7 linked regions of the Mus musculus genome follow. The protein of the gene in region 1 binds, or shares a complex with, the protein of each later gene. Links are inferred from orthologs where the notes say so. Each region holds a gene or a part of one and is shown in the gene's direction. Other genes may lie near its edges. The genes, in order: Snrpd3, Strap, Rbmx2, Ppih, Srrm1, Prpf4 and Lsm5.

Region 1 (4,090 bases):
CTCTTTCCCGCCCCTTTGCTGAGAGCTCTCAAGCCATTCTTTCCCCCTCTTTCTCGGCCTCAGGCTTTCCACAGTTCCCCGGGGAATAGGATCACCCAACGTGCTTCAAGCAGGGCTATTCGATTCTGGACAAGGTTGTGCCTTTTTGCCCCTTGGACTTTTCCACTTGACGGCTCTCAGCACTCCCTGGGCTTCAAGCCCCAGGAGACTCAGGAACGACCCTAAGTGGAGGACAGGAGATGAGAAGGAATATCCACCTAGCTAGGACCCACTAGAAGCTCCAGGCTGGGCTGAGGCCGCAGACGACCCAAGGTCGCGCGCGGCCAGACCCTGCCCGGCTCTAGGGCGGAGTCCCCCTCCGTTCCCCCGGTTGAAGGCAAGGCCCTGAAGAGAGGCACTGACCGGGCTCGAGCGGCTGCCCCGCTGCCTCTGCCTCCGTCCTCATGACCCGGATGGCGCAGGGCGCCCATGGCCCCGGCCTGGAGCTGATTGCAGCGGCGACTTCTGCTGGGCAGCGAGCGCGGCCAGTGAGCGCAGAGTTCCTCCTCCTCCGCCTCCGCCGCCGCCGCCGCCACCGCGGTTCAGAGCCGGGTAGGCGGTGGCTAGGCCGCCTCAAGCCACGCCTAATCCCTTCCAGGTCTGGGCGCTGGAAACCCGCCCCTTCCATAAGCCACGCCTCTTCCCTTCCACCCCCACTTCTCCTTCCAGAACCCGCTACCCGTAGGTCCTTCCCTGAAACGCTCCGGGGGCCCCTCCCCCTCCCCGAGCCCCGCCCCTCCCCGAGCCCCGCCCCCAAAGCCCTTCCCCTAGCGACGTGGGCTCCCCACGCTCTCCCTCCGCTAGGTCTGTTCTTCTGCAGCCTCAGATGGAAGCTCTGGTTCTCCGCAGTGCCTTATCGAGACTCCAGGGAACACTTTCCCGACTCCTTTTAGGTCTTCTTACCCAGACAAGGAATAATGAGAGTTCCCAGGGCTCAGTGCGTCCCTTACCTGCCGGTGGCCGGATCCAAAGCTTAAATCTCTAGTCCAAGCCTCACTTCCTGTCTCCCCAGAGCACTGGGCTCAAGCCCAGATCCCGCCCAATCCGCCACTACAGTACTCAGGGTTACCATGTTCCCTTGTTGGGCTCCAGGATTGGTGTTTCCGGCGGTCCCCCGGGCCCTCTCCGGTGCCGGAACTATTGTGCTAGAGCCCTGGTTTCCCCAGCCGGCTAAGTGAGAGTGAAGGGCAAGTAGGCTTAAAGGAAAGGGAGGGGCCTGCGCAAGGCATTCTGGGAGCGCGTGGTATTCGTGAGAGTCGGGCCGGTCGTTCTCTCGCCTTCGCCTTCTAACGTTTGTGCCAGAACCGGAAAAAAAATAAAGCCTGCAGTTAATTGGTGAGGAGAGGCGGCTAACGGGAGAGAGGAGGCCAGGGCTTCCCCAGGGGGTTTAGGAGCTGGAAGGGCCGCTGCGGAGGAGCTCAGCGGGGCTTGCTTAGCGGAGGGCGGGAAGCCAGGGCCTATCCAAAGCTCATCTCCCGAACCCTTGAACAGTTATTAATTTACGCCTAGTCTGCACGTTCGGTGCCTTCTCAGGTCACCGATTTCCGAAGCTTACGGGCAGTCATTTCTTGCTAATTACCTCCTTTCCTTTTGGATCATCATTTACAACGTCCCTTTCATCCCTGCCTCCACTCCCATTCCTGCAGTGGCCCTCTTTTCCACGCTGCTGCAGAAGTTTAATCAAGTTGCCGTGCTATATGTTCGATCCACTTTGTAGATGCTACTCTTTTTTTTTTGAACCTTTGGCTATCATCCTGCAGTGTTTCCCTACCATTTTCAGCATGGAAACCCACACTCCTAAAGTTGAAAGCCGTGGTTCCTCACCGAGAGAGAGAGACTGTGTTTAGCATCCTTACAGTCTTCTCATGCAAATAAATGGTGTGCTCCGGTTTTGAGTCGTTTCCAATCTCAGCATTTTAAAAGCCCTGTGCATAGTCTTTGTCTTGTAGTGAGACTTAAAGTCGAGCGTTTACCCTATTTCTCTGCTTGATGAACATTTCCTATTTATAGCACCGTAGCCTTGACAGTTTTGGTCTGCTTTTTGGTGGGGATTCAAAACGCTGGATTGAAAAGCGCAAGCTCTTTTTCCTAGCTTCCTTGGGGCTCAGGTCTATATGTACTATTAGGTTCTGTAGCCTTTATCCAAATGTGGTGGCTGACTACTTGGGATATTTCTGGTGTGACTGAAAGACTGAGTTTGCTTTTATTTGCATTTTATTTAACTCCATGTAAACAGTGATTTGTTTACACTCCGGGTCTATATCATAGCCCTTTTAGTGACTATAAAGGGTCATATGGCTGGGATGAGAATGGGGGTAGTACTCTTTGTTCCCATTACTTTTCATTGTCCAGCTTACCATCCTTCCCTACCCTACGTGTTGCGCTAATTTGCTGTGGTGGTTCCTTGAGGCCAAGAGCCACACTCCTTCCACAGGAAACGCAGCTCTTGACATCATTTACAAAGCCCATGGCGTGCCAGTCCTTAAGCTCTGAAAGATGACCATCGTCTCTCTTTCCCTGTAGCCCGGGAAGAGTCCTGCCAAGATGTCTATTGGTGTGCCGATTAAAGTCTTGCACGAGGCTGAAGGCCACATAGTGACGTGTGAGACCAACACCGGGGAAGTATACCGAGGGAAGCTCATTGAAGCAGAGGACAACATGAACTGTCAGGTATCCTGCTTGGCACCAGGGCTGGGAAAGGGCTGTGGCTTCTATCCTGTGGGTAGAGCGGTGTACTTGGAGGTCTTAATGAAGTTATTCTCATCAAACAGTTATTAACTAAGTACTTATTACCTGTCAAGCACTCTTACAGGCTCTAAGATTTTATGTCAGTATAGACTTAGCCTTGAGGCAGAAAAGTCATTTGACAGCCTGTGGTTGTACGTGTGTATCCGAGCACTTGAGAGGCTGAGGTAGATTCTCGAGTTCAAGGCCAGTCTGGGCTTTATAGCAAGACCACACTGCTTTTGGTAGGGAGTCAGAATGCTGAATTGAAAGCACAATCTCTTTTCCTAGATTTCTCTGGGGTTAGGTCTATATTTACTGTCAGGTAGCCTTTAGCCAAATACAGTTGCTAAGTACTTGTCTATAAAACAACCAGTTAAGTTTCACTTTTCTGTCTCAGAGTCGGTCAGGTTCAGAGCCAGTGTCTGCTTCCCAGCACAGTGTATAATTTGCAGGATCTTCTACTCACGTATTGTGTGTGCTTACTTTTGTCTTGGAGAAAGTTTCATCTGATAAAACTGCCAAAGTTTTGGCATATGGTTTGGGGGTTTTCCCCATTAATTAAGAACTTGAGCTTTGGAATCAGAGAATTCCCTGATTCCAAATTGAGTTGGGCCATAATGATAGGACCTTGGGTATCCTGGTCACTTGTTCTCCCCTGAATAAAATGAGGATGGAGTTGTTTTGGATCCTCTGTGCTGTAAATGCCAACCCAGAATTAGATACACCAGAGACTTTGGGGAGGTGGCGTGAAGGACGCCAGTGACCGAGCAGGATTGCGGAAGTGATTGGTTACTTTGCTTGTTGCTGTGATCAAATTCCTGACCAAAGCAACTTAAGGAAGGGGGAGTTTATTTCGACTCACAGTGTGATGAGACAGTCTGATGCAGAAGAAGTCATGGTGGCAAGAACTTGAGGAGGGTACTAACTAGTCACATTGAATCTGCAGTCAGGAAGCAGAGATGAGTGCCAGGACTTAGCCCAGTTTCTACTTTTCACCTCCACCTAACCTAGACAATCCCTCGCAGACACGCCTGTCCCTTCAGTAATTCTAAATCCATCAAGTCGGTAATATTAATCATCGTAGCAGGAGGGTCTTCAGTCCAGGAAAGGAAGGCAGAGTGAGCAAAAGGAGCCTCAGGCTACAACATGGTGCTGAGGAAGTTTCACCCAAGTAAGAGGAGTAACTGGAGCCAGTAATGGACTGGCTCTGATGTTTCTGCTGTGGTCAGTCCCTGGCAGCCTGCTGGAAGGGCTGTCGCAGCGTGAATGCCCTGGCAGGTCCCCCAGAGTGGCAGCTGGAGGGTGCCAACCTGTTGTCTCCTGA
Region 2 (3,500 bases), on another chromosome or scaffold:
GCTATGTAGCTGTTCCCAGTGTGGTTAAGGGCGGATTGCCTGAGGGGATTCTTGATGCCTCTAACCTTTGTAAGTTAAGAGCTGATGTATTTTGTGAAAAGATGCATAGCTTCGAGATAGACCCAAGCAACAGTTCAGATTAGTTAAGCTAGAACCAGGTAGTGTTGTTAAGGCGTTGGGAAAATATAAAGTTATCCACAGCCTAACACAGGTTTTATATTTCATAGAAACTCACAGTTCCTATTAATTTGTAATGAAAATTGCTTCATTACAATTGTGATTGTTTTATGTATAGATAAAAGACTTTTTTTCTGGCTACTTGAATAAATAATTTACTTATGTGCTCATTCATTTGCTTATTCATTTGCAGGCTCTGGGATCATGCCACAATGACAGAAGTGAAATCTCTGAATTTTAATATGTCTGTTAGCAGCATGGAGTATATTCCTGAAGGAGAGATTTTGGTTATTACTTATGGACGATCTATTGCTTTTCATAGTGCAGTAAGGTATGTCTGTCCAGGACATTTCTTCATTTATTTCTGTTGGAAAGAGACTTTAAAAATCAGGGGTTGGAGAGCTGGCTCAGCTGTTGATTAACAGTGATTGTGCCTCTTAGGGAGAAGGTCAGGTCTCACCTCCATCAGGTGCTCACAGTGACTGGAACTCCAGCCTTGGTTTCCAGTGGCCTCCACAGGCATCCCCATGTACACACACACACACACACACACACACACACACACACACACACACACACACACACACACACGCATATATGTATGTGTGCGTGTGCGTGTGTGTGTGTGTGTGTATACACACATATACATACAGATAAAGTAATCTTGAAAAAAAATTGGAAGGCTTGTACCAAAATGTTTCGTGATTCTTTTAAAGGCAGATTCTTACCTGTGCTGTGTAACTCAGACAGACAGACGTGGTCCCACACCTCTTAACAACTCTCTTAGGTTGAGCAGTCTGTAATCAGGAATTAGTGAAATTTCAGCTACCTGTGATATTTATTTCTACATAGTAAGGAATATTCAACATCATGGCAGTGGTTCCTTTGATATAAACAGAATATAAAGTATGCTAATACATATCCTAGGTAGCTGAAATTCTGATAATTTTATTAGCATATTTTATATTCTGTTTTTATCAAAGGAACCATTGGCATGATGTTGTATGTTTCTTACTAGGTAGAAATCACTGTGATAATTGTTTTCTATTTTTTAAAAAGATTTATTTATTTATTTTATTTATATGAGTACACTAGCTATTTTCAGACACACCAGAAGAGAGCATCGGATCCCATCACTGATGGTTGTGAGCCACCATGTGGTTGCTGGGAATTGAACTCTGGACCTCTGGAAGAACAGTCAGTGCTCTGAACTGCTGAGCCAGCTCTGCAGCCCCCCCCCCCCTTTTCTATTTTCTAATTAAAATTTTAAAGAGACAAGGCCTGGGGCTACAGCTCAGTGAGAGTGTTTGTTTAGCATGGATTGAGAGCCTGGGTTTGAATCCCTAGGAACTAAACACAGTGAGGAAAGTGACGCAAACCCATTCATTGTGCGTGTGTGCGCCTGTGCACACTTTGGTTTTTTTCTTTTAATTATTAGCACTATGATGCATAATCTTGGCTGTTTTTTAATTAAAAATGTTTTTATCCATTCAAATACCTTTAAAACATTTTTATTGGTTATGGTGCCTTAAATTGGAAGAGGTTTTGTCTCAGTGCCCTGAGCACTGTAACCGATTGTGGTACATCTTTGTTCTCAGTACTGGGATCCTGAGTTCAACTGTAGGACTGACTGTGCAGTTCTTAGCCTTGGTGCTTAGAGGGTTTCTGTAAGGATTAGACCACATTCTCCTCTGACAGGAGTCTTATGATGTGGTCTAAAGAATACTTCAGTGTTCAGCTTCATTGAATAGGAAACAAACACGTTCTAAAACATGTAACTGCTCATTTTTGTAGCTGTGTGTAGCTGCTCATTTCTGGACCATGCATTCCTGCTGTAGACTCTTGCCTCAGATCTCATTTGGTAGTAACTGGCCTGTTGAGTATTTGAAACACGGGGGCTGATCTGTAATGCTACATTCAGCACAGCTAACGTTAGAGTTTTTGTGTGTGTTTCCCCCACCCCCCAAGACAGGGTCTCTCCGTGTATCCTTGGCTGTCGTGAAATTCTGTGTAGACCAGGCTGACCTCGAACTCAGATTTACCTGTTTCTGCCTCCTGAGTGCTGGGTTAAAGTTAGTTTTATGCTACCATGCCTGACTCTGTGTATGTGCTATGTGCTGATTGATGGTCTGTGTTGAAGTAATTTTCAGGATTGAACTGAGAAGGGCTGGTAAGGAAACTAGTTGATTTCCCCCCCTCCCCCCCGGGGTAGGGGGAGTAAGTAAGTGCACTGAAAAATACAGCTTCATTATAATGCGATTGATTAATCTCAGTTATTGCTGTGAAGAGATGCCAGGACCACGGCGACTGATAAAAGGAAACATTTAACTGGGTGCTTTGGGGGACTTGCTTAGATTTTCAGAGCATAAGTCCATGGCCATCATAGCAGGAGCCAGGCAGGTATGGCATGGAAGCAGTAGCTGAGAGCTTATATCTGATCCACAAGCAAGAGATGGACAGAGCTAACCAGACTGGATCTGCCATGGGCTCTTAACCTCAGCCTCCCCCTCCACCCAGTGACACACCTCCCTTACCCATCCTAATCCTTCTCAGAATAGTCTAACTGGGAACCATGCAAAAGGCTGCAGACTTCATTCTTACTCAAACCACACATGGCCTTCACTCCCTAGTTAAAAACAGCTGCTGATAGCAGTTTCATGTGTTGGGGACTGAAAGCCTGAGCCCCAGCCGAACCCTGAACAGTTATAAAAACATTTAGCATCCCTCTGTACTGTAGTAATTCCTACTGTAAAATATCACTCTAGCTTGATGCTTTTATTTACTTTTTTCAGCGTTGAGCCTTCAAACTGGCCTTTATATGCTAGGCAAATGCCTGTCCCTGACTTTTTGATTTTTTAAGGGGGCCCTGAGTTCTCTTTCCTTAGCCTCTTGAGTGCTGGTATGCAGACATAGGCCACTGCTTGGCCTGCATGACCCTTTTGTATTTACTAAAATAATGCATGTTTGTAGAAAAAATAGAGTGAAATTTTCAAAAGAAAAATAATCTGGCATTGTCACTGCTCTGAGTGGGTGGGACTTGGGAGAACGGAGCTGATAAAGGAGGTGGACTAAAGTTTCATGCAGTCGCCAACTTTATTCAGACCATCAGACAGTTTATAAACTCTGAGGACAAAGGTCATGTGAGTAAAGTTATCTTTGAGTTCAAACTGTAGAGTCACACGGATAGTTAAACATGTAATTGCATAATAGCAACAAGCAGTAATGAATAATCTGAAGTAAAGACATCGCTATCCACTGCACCTGGGAGGTCAACAGCAACACATTCCAAGAACAATTCTATGTTTTAAGAAAACTGAATTCAT
Region 3 (4,267 bases), on another chromosome or scaffold:
CTTTCTTTAAGGTTTAGAATGCCATATGTAAAGGTGGAGGTATCAGAGCCTTGTTAAAGCTCATTAAGAGAAAGTTACTTCCTCTTGTTAAAAGAATGGATTCTGAGTTCTACCTCTGGCCCTAATGATGGAGACGTAATATTCTGATCAGCCTCAAAAGAGAATATTACATGTTGTCTCTTACCTTAAGAGTTCCATACTGCCTCTAACCACAACATTTGGGAGGCAGAGACAGGTGGATCTCTGTGAATTTCAGGCCAGCCCGCTCTACAAAGTGAATGCCAGGAGAGTCACAAGCTCTATAGTGAGACCACGTCTCAGGGGGAAAAAGAGAGTTCCATGCTTCTGAATTGGTAGAATAAATATTGTGAAAATGGGTATACTTCCAAAATTAATTTGCAGATTTCATGCAACACCTTTCAAAATTCTGATGTATTTCACAGGTTTAGAAAAATAACACAAGAATTGATATGGAACTACAAAAGACAATAGGTAGAAAAGAAATCCCAAGGAATAAGAACAATGCTGATAGCATTATAGGACCTGACCTCAAATTTTACTATAGACCTATAGTCATAAGGACAGCCTGGTATTGCTATAAAAGTAGACATTAATATCAATGAAATAGAATAAGAGAATCCAGAATAAAATGCCAAAGCTATTCCTATTTAATTTTTGACAAAGGAAGCAAAAACATATATTGGGAAAAAAATAACCTACTTAAGAAATATGCTGGAAAAACTGAATTTCTATCTGAAGAAGACAGAAATTATGTGAGTGCAAGTGCCCACAGAGGCCAGAGGAGGATCTTCTGAAGTTGGAGTTGTGAGCCACCTGTTTTGGGTGCAGGTTCTCTGGAAAAAAATCAGCAAATGGTCTTAACCACTGAGCCACCTCTCTAGACCTTCAAGCTAATTTTTTTGAAGCTCAGTTTTTTTCCTCTGTAAAATGGGGATGGTAACTGTATTTCATGGGGTTGTTGGGCGGTCAGCCTGGTCTACAGAGCGAGTTCCAAGACAGCTAAGGCTACACAAGGAAACAAACAAGAGATTGAATGAAAAATGCAAATGGCAGAAAGTGAGCCGCCCCCTGGGAGGCAGAGGTTTAGGGTAGGGGCAGGGTGAGGAGTGCTGGGAGGAGCCAATGGTGTGAGCCTTAGCCTGGGGTTTGAGATCTAACAGAGATAACGTGCATAAATTGTCTCTCATTCACAACCTTTAAGTTCTCTAACTCTTTAGTTGATAGGTACTAGTTTGACAATGCTAATTTTTGCCTGCTTGTTTATACGTGGGCATTTAATTCCGACTGGCAGAGGAACACAGGGTCCCCCCATCGCTCTCCATCAAAAAGGGGGCGGGGACTGACTTGGGAACTGTCCCTCCACAGGAGCGAATGCCTGAGAAAGCACCTTCACCTTACTGCGCAGGCGCCAGGGCTTAGCGGGCCGGAACTTCCGGCGGAAGTTCCGCCTCGCGGGCCCCGTGCTCCAATCTGAGCTGGGTGTTCGGGTCGCGGGAGCGCTTTGGAGCCTCACCCGGAAGCTGTTGTCGTCTGAAGCGAGCCGCGCGAAGATGCGAATATGAAGTAAGGATTCTGTTTCTCTGCGGATAGGGGCGGGAGTGTTCTCCGCGGAAGGGAGAGTGGCTTGAGGATGGCCGCCCAGAAAGGGCGGGGACCGGTCCTCGCCCTCCGGGCCTCCGGGCGGGAGAAGCTCGGTAGGGAGAGGGCGGGCTGGGAGGAAAAGTACTTATCGCACTTACCGGCTTGCCTGCCACCCGCGCAGCCCTCTGACTAAGGTGAAGCTGATCAATGAACTGAATGAGCGAGAGGTTCAACTTGGAGTGGCGGAAAAGGTGTCTTGGCACTCGGAATACAAGCACAGCGCCTGGATCTTTGTTGGTGAGGTCCCCATTTTTCTCCAGCAGTGCCTTTCAGAGTCCGCCCCGTCCCTTCCCCTCCCCTCCCCATCCCTCTCCATCCCTCTCCCCTCCCCTCCCCTCCTCATCCCTCTCCTCTCCTCTCTCCACCCCTTCCCCTCTCCTCCCTATGCCCCCTCCCCCGGTTATTTAGTGCCCCTGGTCATCGCTTCTGAACAAGCTCATCACCTCACACTCTGGAAGCTCCTCTGCTCACAGGTCCACTTTTCAGTTGCCTTCAGCGCTTCTTAGAATTGGTATTTGCCTTTCATTCTATTCAAAACCTTGCTACTTGGCTGCTCAGAGACAGTTCATTCCACAGTCAACCTATCACGATGTCAAAGAAACGGAGGCGCAGACAGGTTACTGGACTTGCTTAAGGTCACATGCTGCAGCACTTCAAAACTGTGGGGCTTGTGCTCTTCGTCACGGTCACATACCGATCGTGTGTGTGTCTGCCCTTCCTCACAATGATTTTTCTCCTCTCCTGGGCTTCTGCTCCTAGTCCTTAGCTGTACCGTGATGTACCTGGTCAGACATTAGCTGGATTTGAAGACATTAAGGCTTGATTCAAAATTAGCTTTACTCCGGCTGAACATTTGAAAGGCCACCTGAAAATGTGACAGGATCAGGGAAAGCTACTTCTGATGAAAAGAATAGAGTCTGGAGTACACCCCTGGCCCTGGGTAGATACCAGGACATTTTCAGGAAACCTACATGTTACATACTAGTGTGCCCCTTCCTTCAGACATAATCCAACAGAGCTTTAAGTCATCTGGCCAGTAGACACCTGTCAGGAAAGCTCAGTCACCGCCAGACACGCTAGGGACACGGGAGGGAAATGATCCCCAGTGCAGGTGGTGCTGATGTCCGCCCTAAGTCTACCTGCTGCTCTGAGGCCTCGCTGAGCCCCACCTCTCCCTTTCTTTCTGTTCTCTGGGTGCTGGCGGAAATCCTGAGCCTGCTTGCCCCTAACACGCTGGGCTTTCTCATCTCACATCTAAATGTTTTCCTGTCCCTTTGCGGCTACTGCTCTGTCCCCATTTTTGTGCACTCCTGCTTGCTCCACCTCCTAATTCTGAAGGCATGGCTGCCAACCCTTCTGTAGCTCCCTCCTCCCTCCTCCTCCCGGTAGCTGGCGAATCTTACACCTTGCCTCCCTATCAGCTCTCCCTCAAATGCTAACACAATGGACCTCAAGCTTGCCCTTTAGTCTGTTTTAGAATTATTTTACCAAGATTAGAGACTGAGAGCCTTTGTAAAAGGGGAACTCTTGAGTCTCTGGGGACAATATTACCTTTCGTGTATTCTCTTTATGTCACAACCAAAATCCCGCAGTTTGCCTTTTGAAGGGATTGTGTTAAGCACTTTATATGCCTCATTTTAGTTTATTTCCATAATACTCCTGTGAGGCAAATATGTTAACGTCCCCTTTTTGCATATGAAGGAGAACATTGAGGAACATGTGAAAGGCTTCCTGTGAACCGCTTAGCACTTTCCTTGATACATCCTAGTTTGCACGTGGGGGGCAGTAACAGTGTATTGAAGTCAGTGTTTATGAAATCTGAGTCTTGTGCTGGAAATCATGTGCTTTATAGGACTTTGGGTATGAAGACTCAATGATAAGATTAATTTGGTAATTTATGACCCTAGCCTTTCCCCTCAGAGTTAATTAGTTTTTTTCTTTTTCTTTTTTTCTTTTTGAGGCACAGTTTCGCTCTGAAACTCACTGTGTAGACCAGGCTTGCCTCGAACTCAAAGGGATCTGAGAGCTAATGACTTTTCTTCCAGACAACTGTCATCGTACCCACTCTGTCATTGTATTAGGCTGATAATTTCCAGATCAAGGCTTGTTTAATCTGCACCTCCAGTGTCTGGCCTAGTGCATAGCATGCAGTGAATGCTTGATTAATGCTTGTTAAACTGGAGAATGTGTGTTTTCTTCCAGGAGGGCTTCCTTATGAATTGACAGAAGGCGACATCATCTGTGTGTTCTCACAGTAAGTCCTCTGTTAGTTCCTATCTCCTGGATGCATGGAACAGTTTGCTTCCATAGTGTATTTTTGTAACAGCAACAAAGCATTTCAAGCTGGGTGTGGAGTTGTACACCTCTAATGCCACTAGACAAGTGCCTGAGATAGGAGGATCACTTGGGGTCTGCCTAGGCTCCATAATGCATTCCAGGTCAGCCTGCACAACTAAGTGAGATCCTGCGTCAAAAAGCCACCAAAGCTATTTTAATTCTAGGGATGTCTAATGACATCCCTCCATGGGGAAGGCTAGACCCTAGATCAGTCCCAGAGAGTTACCCCATGGGAGATCCCAGAGCTGAGATCGTTTGAGAGTCTGTC
Region 4 (4,030 bases), on another chromosome or scaffold:
ACCAGGGCTGGAGAGATGGCTCAGTGGGTAAGAGCACTGACTGCTCTTCCGAAGGTCCTGAGATCAAATCCCAGCAACCACGCCCTCTTCTGGGGTGTCTGAAGACAAGTATAGTGTACTTACATATAAGTATCTTTGGGCCGGAGCAAGCATGAGAGAAGGAAAAGAGGGGGGGGGGGTAGCAACTGAATGCCCTCCAAAACAGAGGCAGAAGGGTACTTGGTAAAAGTGGTATAAGAGAAGCCAGCCTTTACTTCCTGGTCTTTGCTACCAGCAGTGGCAAACAGCATTTTAAATAGGCAAAGCCCCATACGATTTACTAGCCTAGAGACCCATCCCATGGGCAAACAACAATCCCTGAGACTGTTGTGCTTGCAGACAGGAACCTCGCATGGCTGTCCTGAGAGACTCCACCCAGGAGCTGACTCAGGGATGCAGAGACCACAGCCAAACATCCGATGGAGCTTGAGGACTCCTGAGGGCCTCCGAGGGGATTGGAACTCCACAGGAAAACCAAGAGTCAACTATGACCCTTGGGGCTCTCAGAGACTGAACCACCAACCAAAGAGCATAGACAGGCGGGACCTAGCCCCCTCCCACACACACACGGTCTTTCATGTGGGTCCCGAACAACTGGAGTAGGGGCTATCCCAAAAGCTGTTGCCCTGCTGTGGAATTCGTTTCTTCTGCTTGTCTGGACTCAGTGGGAGAGGATGAGGCCAGCCCTGCAGAGACTTGATGTGCTAAGGTGGAGGGAAAACCAGAGGGGGTCTCTACCCTCTCAGAGGAGAAGAGAAGGAGGGGGTGGGGAAACCGGGAGAGGCGGCAGCACTGGGGATGTAAATGTGAATTAAAAAATAAAAAATTTTACAATCATAAGAAAATAAATAAAATTACATTTCCAGCACCCGACTGAGCCAGGCTACAGTAACAAACCATTTTAAAATATGGAAGGTGACTCAGGGATCCTCGGCTCATGAGCTGTGACAGGGGACACCAAGTGTGACTGCTCAGGACATGCTGTCTGCAGAAGATTCATTTCTATTGCACTAATACAGTCATGCAAGTGGGGAGCCCACAGACTTTGACAAAGATGCCTGCGTTTCCTCCCCTCAGCTCCGACCAGCTCAGCCAAACAGTACCATTCCCAACAACCTCAGCGCGCGCCACACTTCCGGGGCGGGGCGCAATCGCGGTCCGTTTCCACTGCGTCTGCGCTCCGGATGAAGTTCGCGGGACCTGCCACCGGAAGCCGGGTTTCTACTTCCGGGTCAAAGCCATGGCGGTGGCAAATTCAAGTCCAGTCAATCCAGTGGTCTTCTTCGATGTCAGCATTGGCGGCCAGGTGAGGTGCGGGCGACCTAGCGGCCCGTGCGGGCTGGTTGGCCTCGGGTAAGGGAGGCAGCCCCTTATAGCCCTCCCGAGACCGGCTGGGCCAGGCGGCGGAGGGAGGTGGGAGCTTTCGAGCTTCGTGGACAGCGGTCGTGAGCTGAGTGTTGCGTCTCCCGTTTCTTCTGCAGGAAGTTGGTCGCATGAAAATCGAGCTCTTTGCAGACGTGGTGCCTAAGACGGCAGAGAACTTTAGGTAAGGATATGCTCCAAGTGAACCAGAGCTGAGCCCGAAGCCGGCCTCCAGTCGGTCTTTGCCATGTCTGCCTCTGTCCATCTATTCATTGCCTTGCAGCTCTGTGGTCTGGGTATTTCACTGGCCAAACAGCTACCGGCTGTGACTGATCCCATATCAACTTCTATCACTAGTCTACCTGCCCTGACATCCGCCCGATCAGTTAGTTGGCGGACATACTGGCCCCAGTGTTTGAACTCTCCTCTCCAGAGATTAGAGGTGCTTCAAGCAGTGATCGTACGAAGGCTAAATCGTTTGCTCTCTCTTTCCCTTTAGGCAATTCTGCACCGGAGAGTTCAGGTCAGTCTCAGATGTGTTTGATTTCTCTGCCTACTCCTGAAGGGGTGCCCTGGATGTTTGGTGAGGGTATTGGAGAACCATGAACAGGTCTTAAGTAATGGAAGATGATATGCAGAGAGAGGGTGACACCTTGAATGGGTTCTTTCTCTCTCTTTTTCCCCCTCCAGATCTTAGTGAGAGCCCTTTTAGCCTCTGGTGTAGCCTAAATGGGAAAGGCCCACCATTGTGTTTCCCCATTCCAAGTCTCTTCCTTCTTTGTTTACAGAAAAGATGGCGTTCCGATAGGATACAAAGGAAGCACCTTCCACAGGTAAGGGAGGTTTTTGGAAAACTGGAAATGCAGTCATTGCTTGGTATCTGTACAGGCAGTCCTGCACACCTGAGTTCAAACTCTGTGAGGCTTACGGCTGTTGTTTTAAATGGCATGTTCGCGGCTGAGGCTGTAGCTCGGTGGTAGAGAATTGGCCCAGCATTCATAAGGCCCTGGATTTGGTACTGAACACCATGAAGCCTATGCACAGCGCCTTAAGTCATCCCTGACTTGGTGGAATGCTGTATTGCAGAAACGATGCCAAGGAAAGCATGCTGTACCCTTTCAGTACCTGTTCAGTACAGGTGCGTGGCCACGTGCTCCCAGAGGTCTAAGCTCAGATCCTTAGGCTGCCACAGCAAGCACTTCACCCACTGACCCATCTCCCTGGCGCCAGTCAGGACTTCAGCAGAGGCTTTGCTAGTTACCGTTGCTAGGCAGTCATCTGTAGGAGCCTGGCTTTCATGATATATTTACTTATTTTTTGTTAGAGTTTGACAGAAGTTGCTCTATTCTAATCCTGAAAATGTCCATGTCTCCCACATAAGGGCTTTAAAGCTACAGTCTGTAACCCTCCCTAGCATTCTTGTGAAGTAGTATGTGTTTTCCGAGTTCTTCAAGGAAGGCTAAGCAAAGCGAAGGGCCATAGCTGGTGTACTAGCTAACACCATCAAGTCTCTGTGTGTGCAGTAGTCCATTCACCTAGATTTGCTGTTGTTCTTTTCCCCCAAATTGCAATAAGCCCTGGACATGATTTTTTCCTTTGGTGACTGTTGGTGATTCTAGCCTGGTTTCAGCCCCTTCCTGATGTTCAGGTGCGAACTCACGCATCTAAGATCAACTGAGTTAAGACTGTACTTGCTCGCCCTTTTCTAAGCTTCAGTGATTAATCCACTGAATCTTTTCTCAGGATTTTTTTTTTAACTGTTTCAGGGTCATAAAGGATTTCATGATTCAGGGTGGAGATTTTGTTAATGTAAGTACTGCTTCTTTTCTTTGTTATTTTTTTCTGGCAGGGCCCTAGTCTTGAGACTTAAGAGCAATAGCTAAGTTAAGTGGAGAGGGCATGGGATGTACTGTAGAGTTGCTGGCTACCACTGACTGTGTCCTTAGAACACATAACAATACTCTACTGAACCATAAACTTCCACTTTCCAAACCCTAGCTGTTTGTAACTAGAAACTGGGCTTTGCTGGCATACCTATAGGTGATCTGAGACGGTCCACATTCATTGTTCACAGAAAACTTTGAAATTGACTGCAATTTTTCCCTCAAAAGGAAGGGAGCTGACTGCTTTTGTCTCCCATTTTTCCTTCCACATCTGCACATCTTCTGTCACTGTCTAAAAACTCTAGTTTTTTGTTGGATTGCTCTGGGGGGGGTTAGGGGCCGGTCTTTCTTTCTCTTTTCCTTTTGAAAGCTAAGGTATTAATCACAAGCTGGTTAGCAAGCAAGGGATCAGATCAGGAGAGACAGGAAGTTTAAAGGGTGTTCGCTTGCTTGCTGAGGTAGCCCAGCAGATCCATTCTTCACAAAAAGACCATGACTGTTGGTGTCTCCATCCTTCCTTGGAGTGTGTCCAATAAGCTAGAATATCTCTTTCTTAAACCAGCTCTTTCCTTACCCATCCACCTCTGTGCATGCTGTCTCCTTGCTGTTAGCATTGTTTATGTGGGTGTGTTACTAAGTCCTTTTGTCTGAGAGATGGTCTTACTCCATCAGTTGTAAATTTAGTTAGATTTTTGTGAGTCTTTAGAGGTCTTCCTCCTACACAGGGTTGCAATGGCAGGCTTTAG
Region 5 (3,500 bases), on another chromosome or scaffold:
ATAATTCCAGGCATCTTGAGGCTTTAAAAAATGCTTCCGCAAGAAGGATTTAACTTTCATGAGTGGAATTCTTGACATTTGTTTTTCTCCACTGCTCTCAGGATGCAGATGGGAAAGCGATGGCAGTCACCAGTGACTAAAAGGTTGGTTAGATACTGTTTTTGCAAATGAGGGTTACATACCAAGTGTACTTAGTTTTCTGTTAAGGTGACTGTCCCCATTTTACAGACACATGACAGCTGAGAAAGTCTTAAGTTGCTTTGGTGTGTGTTTTTGTTTTTACCATGTCAGATTAATGATACAAAGAGCTGTGTGAGGAGATGACTGTAGAGCCTTTCCTAATCTGATAATTCTAGACTCTGTAGGGAGTGACTTTTTTAAAGTCTTCATTGTATTTTTATTTGTCATGGATATATATGTGTGAATACACACATGCCACAGTCTGTTGGAGGTCAGAGGACACTTGTAGGAACTGGATCCCTGTGTTCAACAAGTGGGTCCTGGGAGTCGAACTCATTCAGTTCTTCAGGCTCGGTGGCAAGGGCCTTTATCTGCTGAGCTCATCTTATTAGCTCTGGCTTTCTCCCTCTACTCCCACTTGTTGAATTTCTTGGTTTTGAGAGAGGGTTTTTGTGGGTAGCCCTGGCTGTCCTAGGAATTGCTGTGTAGATCAGGCTGGTCTCAGACACAGAGATCCACCTACCTCTGACTTGCGGGCTCTGGGCTTAAAGGTGTGTGCCGTGATCACCTGGCTCAGTGTCATATAGTAAGGAGGATAAAATGAAGTATAATTTTGAGTATGTAAAGTGTTACTATGAAGTACTAATCACATATCACCAGCAAACCTAAACCAAATCTGGTTGGAAATTCAATGTGGTAGTGAATTCTGAAGAGTCGAGACCTGATAAACCTTAAAAACTGAGCCAGGTCCACAGTGTCAGCCCTGGCTGGGCCAGGAGCTAAGGATTATTTACACTGACTTCTCTCTCCGTGTGTCAAGGGCTACAGACAGGCTTAACTTGAAGTCTTTTGTAAGGTTGCTTCTAGCTTGTTAATGTATGACGCTTGGTATATGGCTTGTGTTACAGGTTTATTACAGACTCTGAGTTGGGGAGTGTTTGGTTCTTGAATATACTTTTAACCACACTACCCCCAGGGCAGCTCTAGTATTTAAGATAGCTTTGTTGTTTGTCTTTAGGGTATTGGTAGGTAAGACACATGGTCCCTTTTCAGTGGTGGGTATATATTTCTTCTTTTTTTTAAGATTTATTTATTTATTATATGTAAGTACACCGTAGCTGTCTTCAGACACCCCAGAAGAGATTCAGTTATCATTACAGATGGTTGTGAGCCACCATGTGGTTGCTGGGATTTGAACTCAGGGCCTCCGGAAGAGCAGTCGGTGCTCTTAACCACTGAGCCATCTCTTCAGCCCGGGTATATATTTCTTAGATAAGACCGTAAAGGTTGGAGATAGACTCCGAGATAGAGCATTCACTCAGTGTGTGCAGTCCCTCTGTCTGCCCTCTGTCTCTGCTGCGGAGGAGGGGCAGCTCTAAGCCAGGGCTTCCAGATTGGGGCCTTAAGTTATTTGGTGTCTATTAACATTGGCTGTTAGCCCTGACATGGTTCATATAAGCTTCAGATAAGTTTTCCAACTGATTATTATGTGTGTCCCAACTAAAAAATAAGTGTTCTAATGACCGTTTTTGAATTTTTTCTCTTCCTCTGTTGGGTGATTTATGTCAAACAAATGAGTGTTTTTGTCTGAAGCTAATATCACAAAGCTGTCTTTAATTCATACCAAAAGCAAAACATAAACAATGTTTCTGCTCTGGGTTAGTTAACCACTGGAAATATACTTCCTAGGGGGGCTTAGTTATAAATGTCACTGACTGAGGAGAACTCTGCTTTCTTATTTAGTAGTAGAAGGAGGAGAAGTCCCTCTCCCCCTCCTGCCAGAAGGCGAAGGTCTCCTTCTCCAGCCCCTCCGCCGCCACCTCCCCCTCCTCCTCCTCGGCGGCGCAGATCTCCCACCCCACCACCACGACGAAGGTACTGTGTCCAGGTGACTCATGGTAGCTCTGGGTCTTTATCATGGAAGTTGCTTTGTAAGAGGCATCTTAGGTTGTAAAAGGTCACATAAATGTGAGCTCCTTTATGGGACACAGAACTATGTGGAAACAGAACTTAGAACAGGGCACTGGTGATGCTAACTTGTAATCCCAGGACTCAGAAGGCAGAGGCAGTCAGATCTTTGAATTCAGGTCCACCCTGGTCTACAGATGGAGTTCCAGGACAGCCAGGGCTACACAGAGCAACAAAAAAACAAAGACAGAAAAGGAAATAGGAGCCAAGGGTATTCTGCTCAGAATCTATACTCCTGAAAGGCTGGGCCAGGGACATTTTGAGTTGGAGGTCAGCCTGGGTTATAGAGAAACTAAACCCTGCCCAGCAAACAAATGGGAGAAGTAAACAGATGGATATCTAGGGTGCGGGAAGTGAGAACTATCAGTGGCTGCACAGCCACAGGAGTTCTGAAGCTACCATGTTGTGCACGTTAGCTGCTGCACTAACCTGTTGGCATTTTGCGCACTGTGAAAGCTTTGGTGATGCTCCTGCCAATCATGTAGGACCCTAGACTGCAAGTGCTAGCAGTCCCAGTCAAAAGGGGATTCCATGAAGGGAGAGGTTAGAACTCTTCAGAAATGTCAGTCATGGGCTGTGTGTAATCCCAGCTCTTAGGAGGTAGAGGCAGAAGATCAACACTGGTTTGGAACCAGCCTAAATTGTATTAAGTTCCAGGTCAACTGATACACTGGGGGGTGGGGTGGGAGGAGGTGGGGGGATATGAGCCCTCTCTCCAGCTCCTGTCACAGAGAACACAGTAAAGACTGCCTGGCAACAGCTGATGCTCACAGTTGCACAACACATGTGAGGTTCTCTTATGAAACAGTACTTTGTTTTATATAATTATGTAAATTCTCTTGGTTTGATGAATTTAAATTGTTTCTGAGAATTTCAACTTTCTCCATTAAACACAACACAGTATCCTCTTGTCAGTCATGGAGGTATGTGTATTGCTTTGAAATATCTCCTGACAGAGTACTAGCTACAGGATAGTTATGACTAGTTACTTCTTTTTTTTTTTTTTAAAGATTTTTTTTTTTTATATGTAAGTACAGAGTAGCTGTCTTCACACACACTGGAAGAGGGCATCTCATTACAGATGGTTGTGAGCCACCATGTGGTTGCTGGGATTTGAACTCAAGACCTTCAGAAAAGCAGTCAGTGCTCTTAACTGCTGAGCCATCTCTCCAGCCCGACTAGTTACTTCTTTTTATTCAATTAATTTTCTTGATTCTGGATTGGCTAGCAAGATGGCTCAGTGGGTGAAAGTGCTTGCCATAAAACTAAGTGACCAAGGGGCTGGAGAGATGGCTCTGGGTTACCATCTGTAATGAAATCTGATGCCCTCATCTGGTGTGTCTGAAGACAGC
Region 6 (4,239 bases), on another chromosome or scaffold:
AAGATCTGGCGCCCTCTTCTGGAGTGTCTGAAGACAGCTAGTGTACTTACATATAATAAATAATTTAAAAAAAAAAAAAAAAACAAAGTTACACTTAGACCACTAAAATAAAAAGCTAAATGATAGTGATCTACATGAAAGTTTTGCTATAGTGTGCATTCATAGAAATTATTATTGCGTGCATCCAGAACGAAACAAAACACTACAATGTATAGGAAACATTTACACTTCTCTCAGGAGGCTTAGCACAGCAAGGGGTGATCTAATCAAAACACTGGCCCGTGACATTTCAAAACTGCTTTATTCTATCAGATACTACTTTCTACCAGATCCTTACGTAGAGAAATGGAAGTCAGCTCCAAGGGGGAAAGGAAGAAACACTTAGAAAAACAACAACAACAACAATAATTCCCTACTTGCGAGGGAACTTTCTGAAAGCCTCACCACTAGAGAGCAATAATGAGTACGAGTTAAAAGCGCGGCTCGGCGGCTCGCGACCTGCCACGTTACTAATTCTACTACTACGGCTCCAGAACGACCTTTTCTCACCAGAATGTTTTTTGGTTTTTTTCGGGCTTGTACTCTTGTCCGTGACTGAGATGACTAAAACAGAATAAGCTCGTTGCGCGTAACTCGGCATTAGTAAGTCCTCGAAAAGGAAGTGCTCTTCTAATTGGAGTTGTTCGGGGCAGGGCCTTGAGTGTGGAAGTGAGTCTGTTCAGCTCGGCAAACGCGCATATTTTTGTAACCCCCACAACTTTCATGTAAGGATTTTTTTTTTAAAAAAAACCTTATCTCTGATGGCCTAACATTCATTGGAGCTACTACTGCTGATATGCTCTTTATCTGGAGCCTTCATGGACCCTTTATTTCAAAGAACACAGACAAAGAATAGGCTGTAGACAAGTAAACCCACAACAAACTAGGCCGCAGCTCCTCCACCACATCTCTATTTTAGCCTTAGAAGGTCTTAGAGTTTAATATCTTCTTGAAGCCCAAACTGATTACGTAGCCACCGAGTTACGAGGGGCCCCCGAAGGACTTCCGTCGTGGACAACAGTCCTCTTTCCCAGCTCCAAGGCTGCAGAAGTCTAGGGAGAGATTTCCATGGCAACACAGGCCTCAGCTTCGAAATGGCGGAAGGCCTCCCGAAGGATAACAGAGACCCTCGTTTTGTTCCAGATTATGGTTGCGATCCGCAAACCTACCTCTTTTCAGGCCTCTGCAGTTCCCCAGAACCTCAACTCCCACCATGACTCCATTGCTGCGCAGCCCAAACTACACCTCCCAGGCTGCTCTGCGCCTCTCTTCCCATGCTCCTCTTCTCCCGCGAGGTTGTGTAGCTCTGTAAGGCCACGCCCCTCGACTCCAGCCGACCTTTGGCAACTACCATTCCCAAGATACTTCGCACGTAGTACGTTTCTGATACGTTTCCGGCCAGTGACGCACTTCCACTTTGCTAGGCGCGCGGTTCCCGGTCTGAAAAGTAGAACGCGGATTTGGCTAGGGCCTCGCGTCTCCGCCGCCCGGCATGGCCTCCTCACGAGCCTCCTCCACGGTACGGAGCTCTGGATCTAAGCTCAGGCCTGCCCTAGAGAGGCCGGGGGTTCCCGTGGGAAAGGGCCGTTACCTTACGGGTCTGGGCCGAGGAGGAGGAAAGCTGAGGGACCCTAGTGTGGACCTTAGTAGCCTTTTCCTGATGTCTTCGTGTGCTGCAGCTCTCTTTGCACTGCTCTTACTTAAGTCCTGAGCAGAGACCACTCTTTCTGGCTGCTCCAAAACACGGTGCTTTGGAATCGGGTTGTGTCCTGACTTAAGCTGTCCGACTCGTACTTACTATGATGAGGCTTCCCAACTTGTAATCGGCTCTGAAAGTATTTGAAATGTGTATTCCAGTCACATCGTGACTTGGTGCACCTAGAGCCACCCTGATTGTTTAGGTTGTTTTTAGTGTCTGCCCAGCAGTGAGAAGTTATTTTCGTAAAACCGGAGATTGCTTTTCCAGTCGATTAAAGTAACGGGCCCCAAAACAACCAAGACACTTCAGGCAGAAATTGATTGGTCGTATTTGTGTGCCAAACTTAACAAGAGCCTTAACTCGCACAAAGTCAGTTTCGACTTTCTCCTCTAGTTTTGAGAGGAAAGAAGATGAAAGTGCAGCGTTAGCTTCATTCTTTTGGGAAGCATGGTTTGCTGGAACTAAACCTTAGTCCGGGTCTTTGATTTAACAGACAACCAAAACCAAAGCGCCTGACGATTTAGTTGCTCCCGTTGTGAAGAAACCACACATCTACTATGGAAGCTTGGAAGAGAAAGAGCGGGAACGCCTGGCCAAAGGAGAGTCTGGGATTTTGGGAAAAGAAGGACTCAAAGCCGGCATTGAAGCAGGAAATATTAATATAACATCCGGTAAGATGCAAATTGCAGGTCATTACCCCCACACACACACCCTTTTTTAAACAGTGCTGGGAATCCAACCCGGGTTTTTTTTTTTTTTTTTTTGCATGCTAGGCAACTGTTCTGCCACTGAGCCATACATTTCCATCTCCCCCCACCCCCCACAGTCTCTTACCTTTGACCTCAAACTCCTCCTGCCTCCTTCCTGGTCGCCACCATGTACTTTTGATGATTCAATATTCTGATGAACACCTTCCCAAACCACATAGTATTAGGTTTATAGGCCAAAACCTTCTATTGGTCTGGGGAGCTAGTTCAGGTGCCAAAAGCTTTTCTCTGTGACCATTAGGACCTGAGACTGAGCCCCAGAACCCATGTTTTTTTACTGGCTTGTTTTTCCTTTTTCTAAAAAAAAAAAAAAAAAAAGTCAATGTGGTGGTACCTACTTAGAATGAAATGTTGGGAAGACATACTTGCAAACGCGTGCAACCTTACCCTTCTGTTTTCACCTTTGAGCCTGTGACTTTACCTGCTTGACATCATCCAGTGAGTGGATTTCTTGTATTCTCTACAGTTCCTTGCAGGAATGACTCGTGGTCTCTGTAGACTTCTTGAGTGGATTTGTCTTTGGGAGATGTAACCTAGTTCTGGCATTGGTTTATAACTGTTTATAGAATTCTTTCCTTTACTTTTCTAGGGTTTTTCTTTGTGTTTTCCTTTTTGTTTCTGTTTTTCAAGACAGGGTTTCTCAGTGTAGCCATGGGCCAAGCTGGCTGGCCTCCAACTCAGAGGTTCTCCTGCCCCTGTCTCCAGAGTGCTGAGAATAAAAGCATAAAAAAGAATAAAAACCACTACCTGCCTAGTTTAACTTAGTTATTATAAGTATTTAAATGTGCACACTTTTTCCCTGTACACATATACTATTCTTAAATGTCTTCAAGCCTGTCTCACTGGGGGTTAGGAGGGGCGAGGGGTTGTGGGTTTTAAAACTAATCGCCATAGTATCCAAAAAGACTTACCTTGTTGTCAGAGGAATCCTGTTTTTCCTGGTCATTATTTCCTCTCACTGTGTGTGAATGCTCTCCTGGGGGTACTGTTTTAGCAGGTAGGAGTTGGGCTTTCCAAATAAGAAATGTTCTAAGCTATAGAAAGAGATAGTGAAATAAATGGAAGAGGTGGCCTGGCCCTCCTGCCCTCAGTTTAAAGCATCACTTGGGTTTATGTGTTTGCTATCATTTAATAAGCTGAGAATTGAAAATGGTAAGCTATAAAAAGTAAGATAGATTAGATACAGTTCTTGCATATGCTTACAACTTTTCAGCTCTTAAAGACCAAAACAAATTTCAGTATTAATAAGATGGACATACTTGTTTATTGATAGAGAATTAAATGTTAACTGAAATTTTAATATTGTAAGTCAGGGCATTTTGAATATTTTTCATAATACTTTGATTCTTTCTTTCTTTCTTTTTTTTTTTTTTAGTTAGCAACTCAGATATTGTGCTGAACTTAACAGGCATACACTGAGCTTCTCCCCATCGTCCAAACAGCAATTCTAAATAAACAAATATTTTAACACGGTATAGTCCAAAGATAAAACTATTTGATATTTGATGCTGAGGAAATTAAATGTTTTCCTTATAACTTTGTACAGTGAAGACATTGCAATTCATCAGATGTAATGGCCTCTGAGCCACTTTGCGTGTGGTGTTCCTTAGTGTCATATGGCATGGCAGACAATAAGTACATTACAGAATTGCACATGCTCAGCACCAAGGCTGCAGCAAAGATACATGGTGCAGCCCAGCAGGGACCCTTCGATATTGCTGAAGTCTCTGTGAG
Region 7 (4,057 bases), on another chromosome or scaffold:
GCTGTCAAGTGTGTTTGTAATTGCCTTGGGACCTAGTAGATCTGTAAGACTTATAGATTGGGCGTGGAGGAAAAAAAGCCACCACTGGCTTGGAATTGAGAATGGAGCTGAGTTTTCATTGCTTTCCATATTAAATCCCATAGTGCTGTGCACATGAAATGTACTATTTGTCCTCCTTCCCACTCTCTTGGTTGAAGACTTTTCTGAACATTGTTTTATGTATCCAGCAAGCTGCTAGTCAAACAATATTCCACTGATATGTTTTTTCAATGGAGGAATGAAGGGTGCTCATCTCTCATATTTAGGCTGTTTGGTTTTAAGTCTGTCACATGAGATGGACAAAGGCAAAGTATTTATCTGCTTTAACAACAACAACAACAACAACAACAACAACAAAACAAGCACGTAAACGAACAAACAAAAAACACTAGGGCCCAAACTCCGGGCCTCATGAATGCTAGGAAAGTACCCTATAGCCAAGCTACCAGCTAGCCCTTGTTAGTTTTAATTTCTTATTTTGTGTCGGGGTCTAAGAGGGCCATGCCTGCAACAGATGCCTCCTTTTGTCTCTCAAGTGTTGGGTTTACTGGCCACTCCACGTTAAAAGGGGGCTTTTTAATCTTTTCCAATGCAGAAGTGTGATAGCAAGGTTTCCAAACATGATGGAGTCAACATACAGAGTGACATCTTACGGTTGCCTGCAAATTGAAAACTGATAGTGACTTTAATGCCTGTAATAAACCAGACACCTAGAAACGACAAGAAGAAATTAAATAATAGTAGAAGTTTTTTGTTTGTTTGTTTGTTTGTTTGTTTTTTCTAAAAAAAAAAAAGCTTGTGAAAAATGCTGCTTTATAGACTTTCAGTCCTCTGGCCTTAAAAGTACCAGATTCCTTAAAAAAAAAAAAATGAGTAGTTGTTGAGGAGCATGCAGAACGAGTTTATAGTAGGAAATATAAATTGATTTTATTGCTCTGAAGAAAGATACAGGCTTGAAATGCAACCTTCTAGAGGAAAATTAACCGACTCAGAGATCTCGTATGCTGGTCTTCCGGCGGCAAATTATCTCTGAAGTTTAGCAAAACTTGGGGGTACCATAGGTGCCTGTTGGGTTGGTGGCAGGGATAGAGATCCGAACCTCTCTATCGAATCTGTCTGCGATCCATTGGGATCCTCTGGATCTCAAGATCGGCTTTGGATTAGTCTTGTCTGAACCAGCTGTGGAAAAGGGCGGAAGCGCGCAATTTTAAAGTCTGCGCCGGTGTCCTTAGCCACTTCCGGCGTGGCCATGGCGGCTAACGCGACCACGAACCCGTCCCAACTCCTGCCACTAGGTAAAAGTCTTGTTTGGGGAGCGGTCGGGTTGCTGCAATTCCACGCTGGGGGCCGAGGCTGGGCCACCGCCCCTCCGGGCCCGGCTGTCCGGTCCTTGGCGTCACTGGGCAGACAGACAGACCGTTTTGCCTGTCGGTGGTCGGTGAGGGTCCCACTTAGTGAAGGACGTGCTCGGCCTTTTTGAGCTCGCCAGTAAGATGTCATGAGTCGCGCAGTCCCAGTTCTCAGCTTGGCCTTCTTGGTCTCCAGATCAGGTAGACCCTGTATTGGCTTGGGTAAGGAGTGCGCCACGGCATACAATGAATCTTACAATAGAAATCTGGAAACTAGCCCCGTCGTTCATTAATTCAACAAGCAATTCCCGCGCAGTGCCAGAGAACTGTTGAATAATGAACTTGAATTACAGCCATTGCTTTCAAGATCGCACACCGGCACGCATCGTGCTGAGCAATTCTAAGATGCTGAGATGAACAGGTTGGCCCAGGAGCACAGAGAGTTAAGGTTAAGTGAGAGAAGGAGTGACGGGAAAGCCGGTGTCTGTAATAATGCTTCTCCCTTGTCATGTTTTGGGGCTGGTGAGCTTAGTGAATGTGTCTGTGATTGAAAGTTTTTGCAGTGTTAGATATTGTTTATCGGTACAAACACTGATGAAGAAAAACAGTTATGGTCTCCACCCACCTCATGGTGTGTGTTTTCATACATTAATCAAATAATCTAAATAAAAATCACAGTCCTATTAATTGCAAATAAAGAGTTAAGTGAAAGCTAAGGCAAACATTTGTGCTAACGATTAAACAGAGATTTGTGTAAGATGTAAAATTACCGAATGGTTCCAGATACATATGTAGGAGAGTATGGCCTTTTTTGACATCATTGGGAGGGGAGGCTCTTGATCCTGTGGAGTTTGATGCCACAGCATAAGGAGAATGCTGGAGTGGGTGGGTGGGTGGGGGAGCACCCTCATAGAAGCAATTGGGGAGTGGGGAGAAGGTAGATATGGGAGGGGTGTTGTGGAGGGGTAACCAGGAAGGGGGAATATCATTTGAGATGTAAACAGATGGAATGATTAATAAAAGTAAGTAAATAAATAAATAAATAGCAAAAAACTGAATGTTTTTGCTTATCTTTAATGATAAAAAATAATAAGTGAAGTAGGCATTCAAATGTTGGTCGATCTAATAAGTAGGTAAAATTACCCTTTTCCTTCCACAGAGCTTGTGGACAAATGTATAGGGTCAAGAATTCACATTGTGATGAAGAGTGATAAAGAAATTGTCGGGACACTTCTAGGATTTGATGACTTTGTCAGTATCCTTTTTAAAAGCGGGAATGGTGTAGGTTTCTAAAGATGTATTAATATAAGAAAGAACTATAGACAACCGAAGAATTTCTGGTTATTACATTAAGAATAATTTTGTTTTCCAGGAACTTGGTAGTATTTTAAGAGGTGTGTTTGCTGACAGTTGATAGGGCTCTTGCCAACAACAAACCTTTTGAATTTGCACTATCATAGTGTTGAACATATTTTAAACCAAACAAAAACATATACCTGAATAAACCTTATTTATTTTCTTAACATTAAATTCAGATATGGTGTTGGAAGATGTCACAGAATTGTGAGTAGTATTTAAAAAATTAAAAAAATTTGAGAGGAGGGGAGGAAATCTCTTTTTAATTAAAGATGGTGCCTTGATTACTTTTTTCTATTAATGTGAAGAGACAGCATGACAAAGGTATCTTATGGAAGAATGCGTTTAACTGGGGGCTTGCTTACAGTTTCAGATGGTTAGAGTCCCTGACTGTCCTAGCTAAGAGCTTATATGTTAGATAATAACCAAGAGAGAGAGAGAGAGAGAGAGAGAGAGAGAGAGAGAGAAGTAAATAGAGAACGCGAGCGCACTAAGTGGGTATAATTTAGGTTTTTGGAATCTCAAAGCCTAACAGGGTGATACACCTCCTCCAAAAAAGGCCACACCTCCTAATCATTTCCAGTTTGCCAACAGAGGACCAAGTGGAGGCCATTCTCCTTTAAACCTCCATAGCAGCTTTAGTATGATCGATATAAAAAAAATTACTTGTTGGAAAATACCTTAATACTGAAACGTTATTTACTGGTGTTTGTGAGGTCCAGTTAAAGGATTATTATCTTCATATTATTCCTGAATTTGTAAGAAATTAGTGTGAACAAGCTTTATGGTGAATTATATTTACATGAGTATTATCCAATGGGCAGTTTGTATTCTGTATATATTTACTGTAATTATATGCGTTCACATTGAATCATGTGTAAGAATAACAGCTTTGTCACTAGGGATTGAACCCAGGGCCTTGTGTGTGTGCTCTGCCACCAAGCTATTCTCCTTACCCCAGTAGGACTTTTAGGGAGGGAAAGTGTTTCTAATACTGCCTTTGATTACTTGTTTATCCAGACTCCATTTAATCTATCTTTTTAGTGAAATTACACCAGAAGGAAGAAGAATTACAAAATTAGATCAAATTCTACTAAATGGAAATAATATAACAATGGTAAGACATTAAAACTTTTCTCTGGAAATTATTTTACTTTTGTAGTGTAGGGATTATGGAACTGACTTAAACTTCTATTTCGTTGGCAATGTTCATGGCACTGAGATAGACACACTGAGGATGGGAAGGGAGCCTTGGTGATCTGTGCCTCAGGGCAGCTGTTGAAAGTGCTTTGGTCCTTGTCTTAGTCAGGGTT

Evidence for each region.
Region 2: Snrpd3 (region 1) and Strap share a complex: the UniProt entries of both Homo sapiens proteins name them as parts of the SMN-Sm complex. The link is inferred for Mus musculus from reciprocal best matches to the Homo sapiens genes SNRPD3 and STRAP.
Region 3: Snrpd3 (region 1) and Rbmx2 share a complex: the UniProt entries of both Homo sapiens proteins name them as parts of the minor spliceosome. The link is inferred for Mus musculus from reciprocal best matches to the Homo sapiens genes SNRPD3 and RBMX2.
Region 4: Snrpd3 (region 1) and Ppih share a complex: the UniProt entries of both Homo sapiens proteins name them as parts of the U4/U6-U5 tri-snRNP complex. The link is inferred for Mus musculus from reciprocal best matches to the Homo sapiens genes SNRPD3 and PPIH.
Region 5: Snrpd3 (region 1) and Srrm1 share a complex: the UniProt entries of both Homo sapiens proteins name them as parts of the minor spliceosome. The link is inferred for Mus musculus from reciprocal best matches to the Homo sapiens genes SNRPD3 and SRRM1.
Region 6: Snrpd3 (region 1) and Prpf4 share a complex: the UniProt entries of both Homo sapiens proteins name them as parts of the U4/U6-U5 tri-snRNP complex. The link is inferred for Mus musculus from reciprocal best matches to the Homo sapiens genes SNRPD3 and PRPF4.
Region 7: Snrpd3 (region 1) and Lsm5 share a complex: the UniProt entries of both Homo sapiens proteins name them as parts of the U4/U6-U5 tri-snRNP complex. The link is inferred for Mus musculus from reciprocal best matches to the Homo sapiens genes SNRPD3 and LSM5.

What each region holds. Positions count from the first base shown.
Region 1 is NC_000076.6:75,516,752-75,520,841, forward strand, and holds the start of Snrpd3 (small nuclear ribonucleoprotein Sm D3), read left to right. Parts: upstream 1-1,290; 5' UTR 1,291-1,374; intron 1,375-2,562; 5' UTR 2,563-2,583; coding exon 2,584-2,709; intron 2,710-4,090. Other genes in the region: protein GUCD1, read right to left, coding at 403-445. UniProt on the Homo sapiens protein: Plays a role in pre-mRNA splicing as a core component of the spliceosomal U1, U2, U4 and U5 small nuclear ribonucleoproteins (snRNPs), the building blocks of the spliceosome.
Region 2 is NC_000072.6:137,741,582-137,745,081, forward strand, and holds part of Strap (serine-threonine kinase receptor-associated protein), read left to right. Parts: intron 1-370; coding exon 371-508; intron 509-3,500. UniProt on the Homo sapiens protein: The SMN complex catalyzes the assembly of small nuclear ribonucleoproteins (snRNPs), the building blocks of the spliceosome, and thereby plays an important role in the splicing of cellular pre-mRNAs.
Region 3 is NC_000086.7:48,693,537-48,697,803, forward strand, and holds the start of Rbmx2 (RNA-binding motif protein, X-linked 2), read left to right. Parts: upstream 1-1,467; 5' UTR 1,468-1,579; coding exon 1,580-1,584; intron 1,585-1,783; coding exon 1,784-1,899; intron 1,900-3,864; coding exon 3,865-3,916; intron 3,917-4,267. UniProt on the Homo sapiens protein: Involved in pre-mRNA splicing as component of the activated spliceosome. As a component of the minor spliceosome, involved in the splicing of U12-type introns in pre-mRNAs.
Region 4 is NC_000070.6:119,317,724-119,321,753, reverse strand, and holds the start of Ppih (peptidyl-prolyl cis-trans isomerase H), read left to right. Parts: upstream 1-1,230; 5' UTR 1,231-1,279; coding exon 1,280-1,345; intron 1,346-1,520; coding exon 1,521-1,585; intron 1,586-1,900; coding exon 1,901-1,924; intron 1,925-2,189; coding exon 2,190-2,234; intron 2,235-3,167; coding exon 3,168-3,210; intron 3,211-4,030. UniProt on the Homo sapiens protein: PPIase that catalyzes the cis-trans isomerization of proline imidic peptide bonds in oligopeptides and may therefore assist protein folding. Participates in pre-mRNA splicing.
Region 5 is NC_000070.6:135,325,647-135,329,146, reverse strand, and holds part of Srrm1 (serine/arginine repetitive matrix protein 1), read left to right. Parts: intron 1-101; coding exon 102-143; intron 144-1,923; coding exon 1,924-2,055; intron 2,056-3,500. UniProt on the Homo sapiens protein: Part of pre- and post-splicing multiprotein mRNP complexes. As a component of the minor spliceosome, involved in the splicing of U12-type introns in pre-mRNAs. Involved in numerous pre-mRNA processing events.
Region 6 is NC_000070.6:62,407,344-62,411,582, forward strand, and holds the start of Prpf4 (U4/U6 small nuclear ribonucleoprotein Prp4), read left to right. Parts: upstream 1-1,439; 5' UTR 1,440-1,531; coding exon 1,532-1,558; intron 1,559-2,231; coding exon 2,232-2,409; intron 2,410-4,239. UniProt on the Homo sapiens protein: Plays a role in pre-mRNA splicing as component of the U4/U6-U5 tri-snRNP complex that is involved in spliceosome assembly, and as component of the precatalytic spliceosome (spliceosome B complex).
Region 7 is NC_000072.6:56,701,900-56,705,956, reverse strand, and holds the start of Lsm5 (U6 snRNA-associated Sm-like protein LSm5), read left to right. Parts: upstream 1-1,257; 5' UTR 1,258-1,288; coding exon 1,289-1,334; intron 1,335-2,547; coding exon 2,548-2,643; intron 2,644-2,923; coding exon 2,924-2,951; intron 2,952-3,788; coding exon 3,789-3,861; intron 3,862-4,057. UniProt on the Homo sapiens protein: Plays a role in pre-mRNA splicing as component of the U4/U6-U5 tri-snRNP complex that is involved in spliceosome assembly, and as component of the precatalytic spliceosome (spliceosome B complex).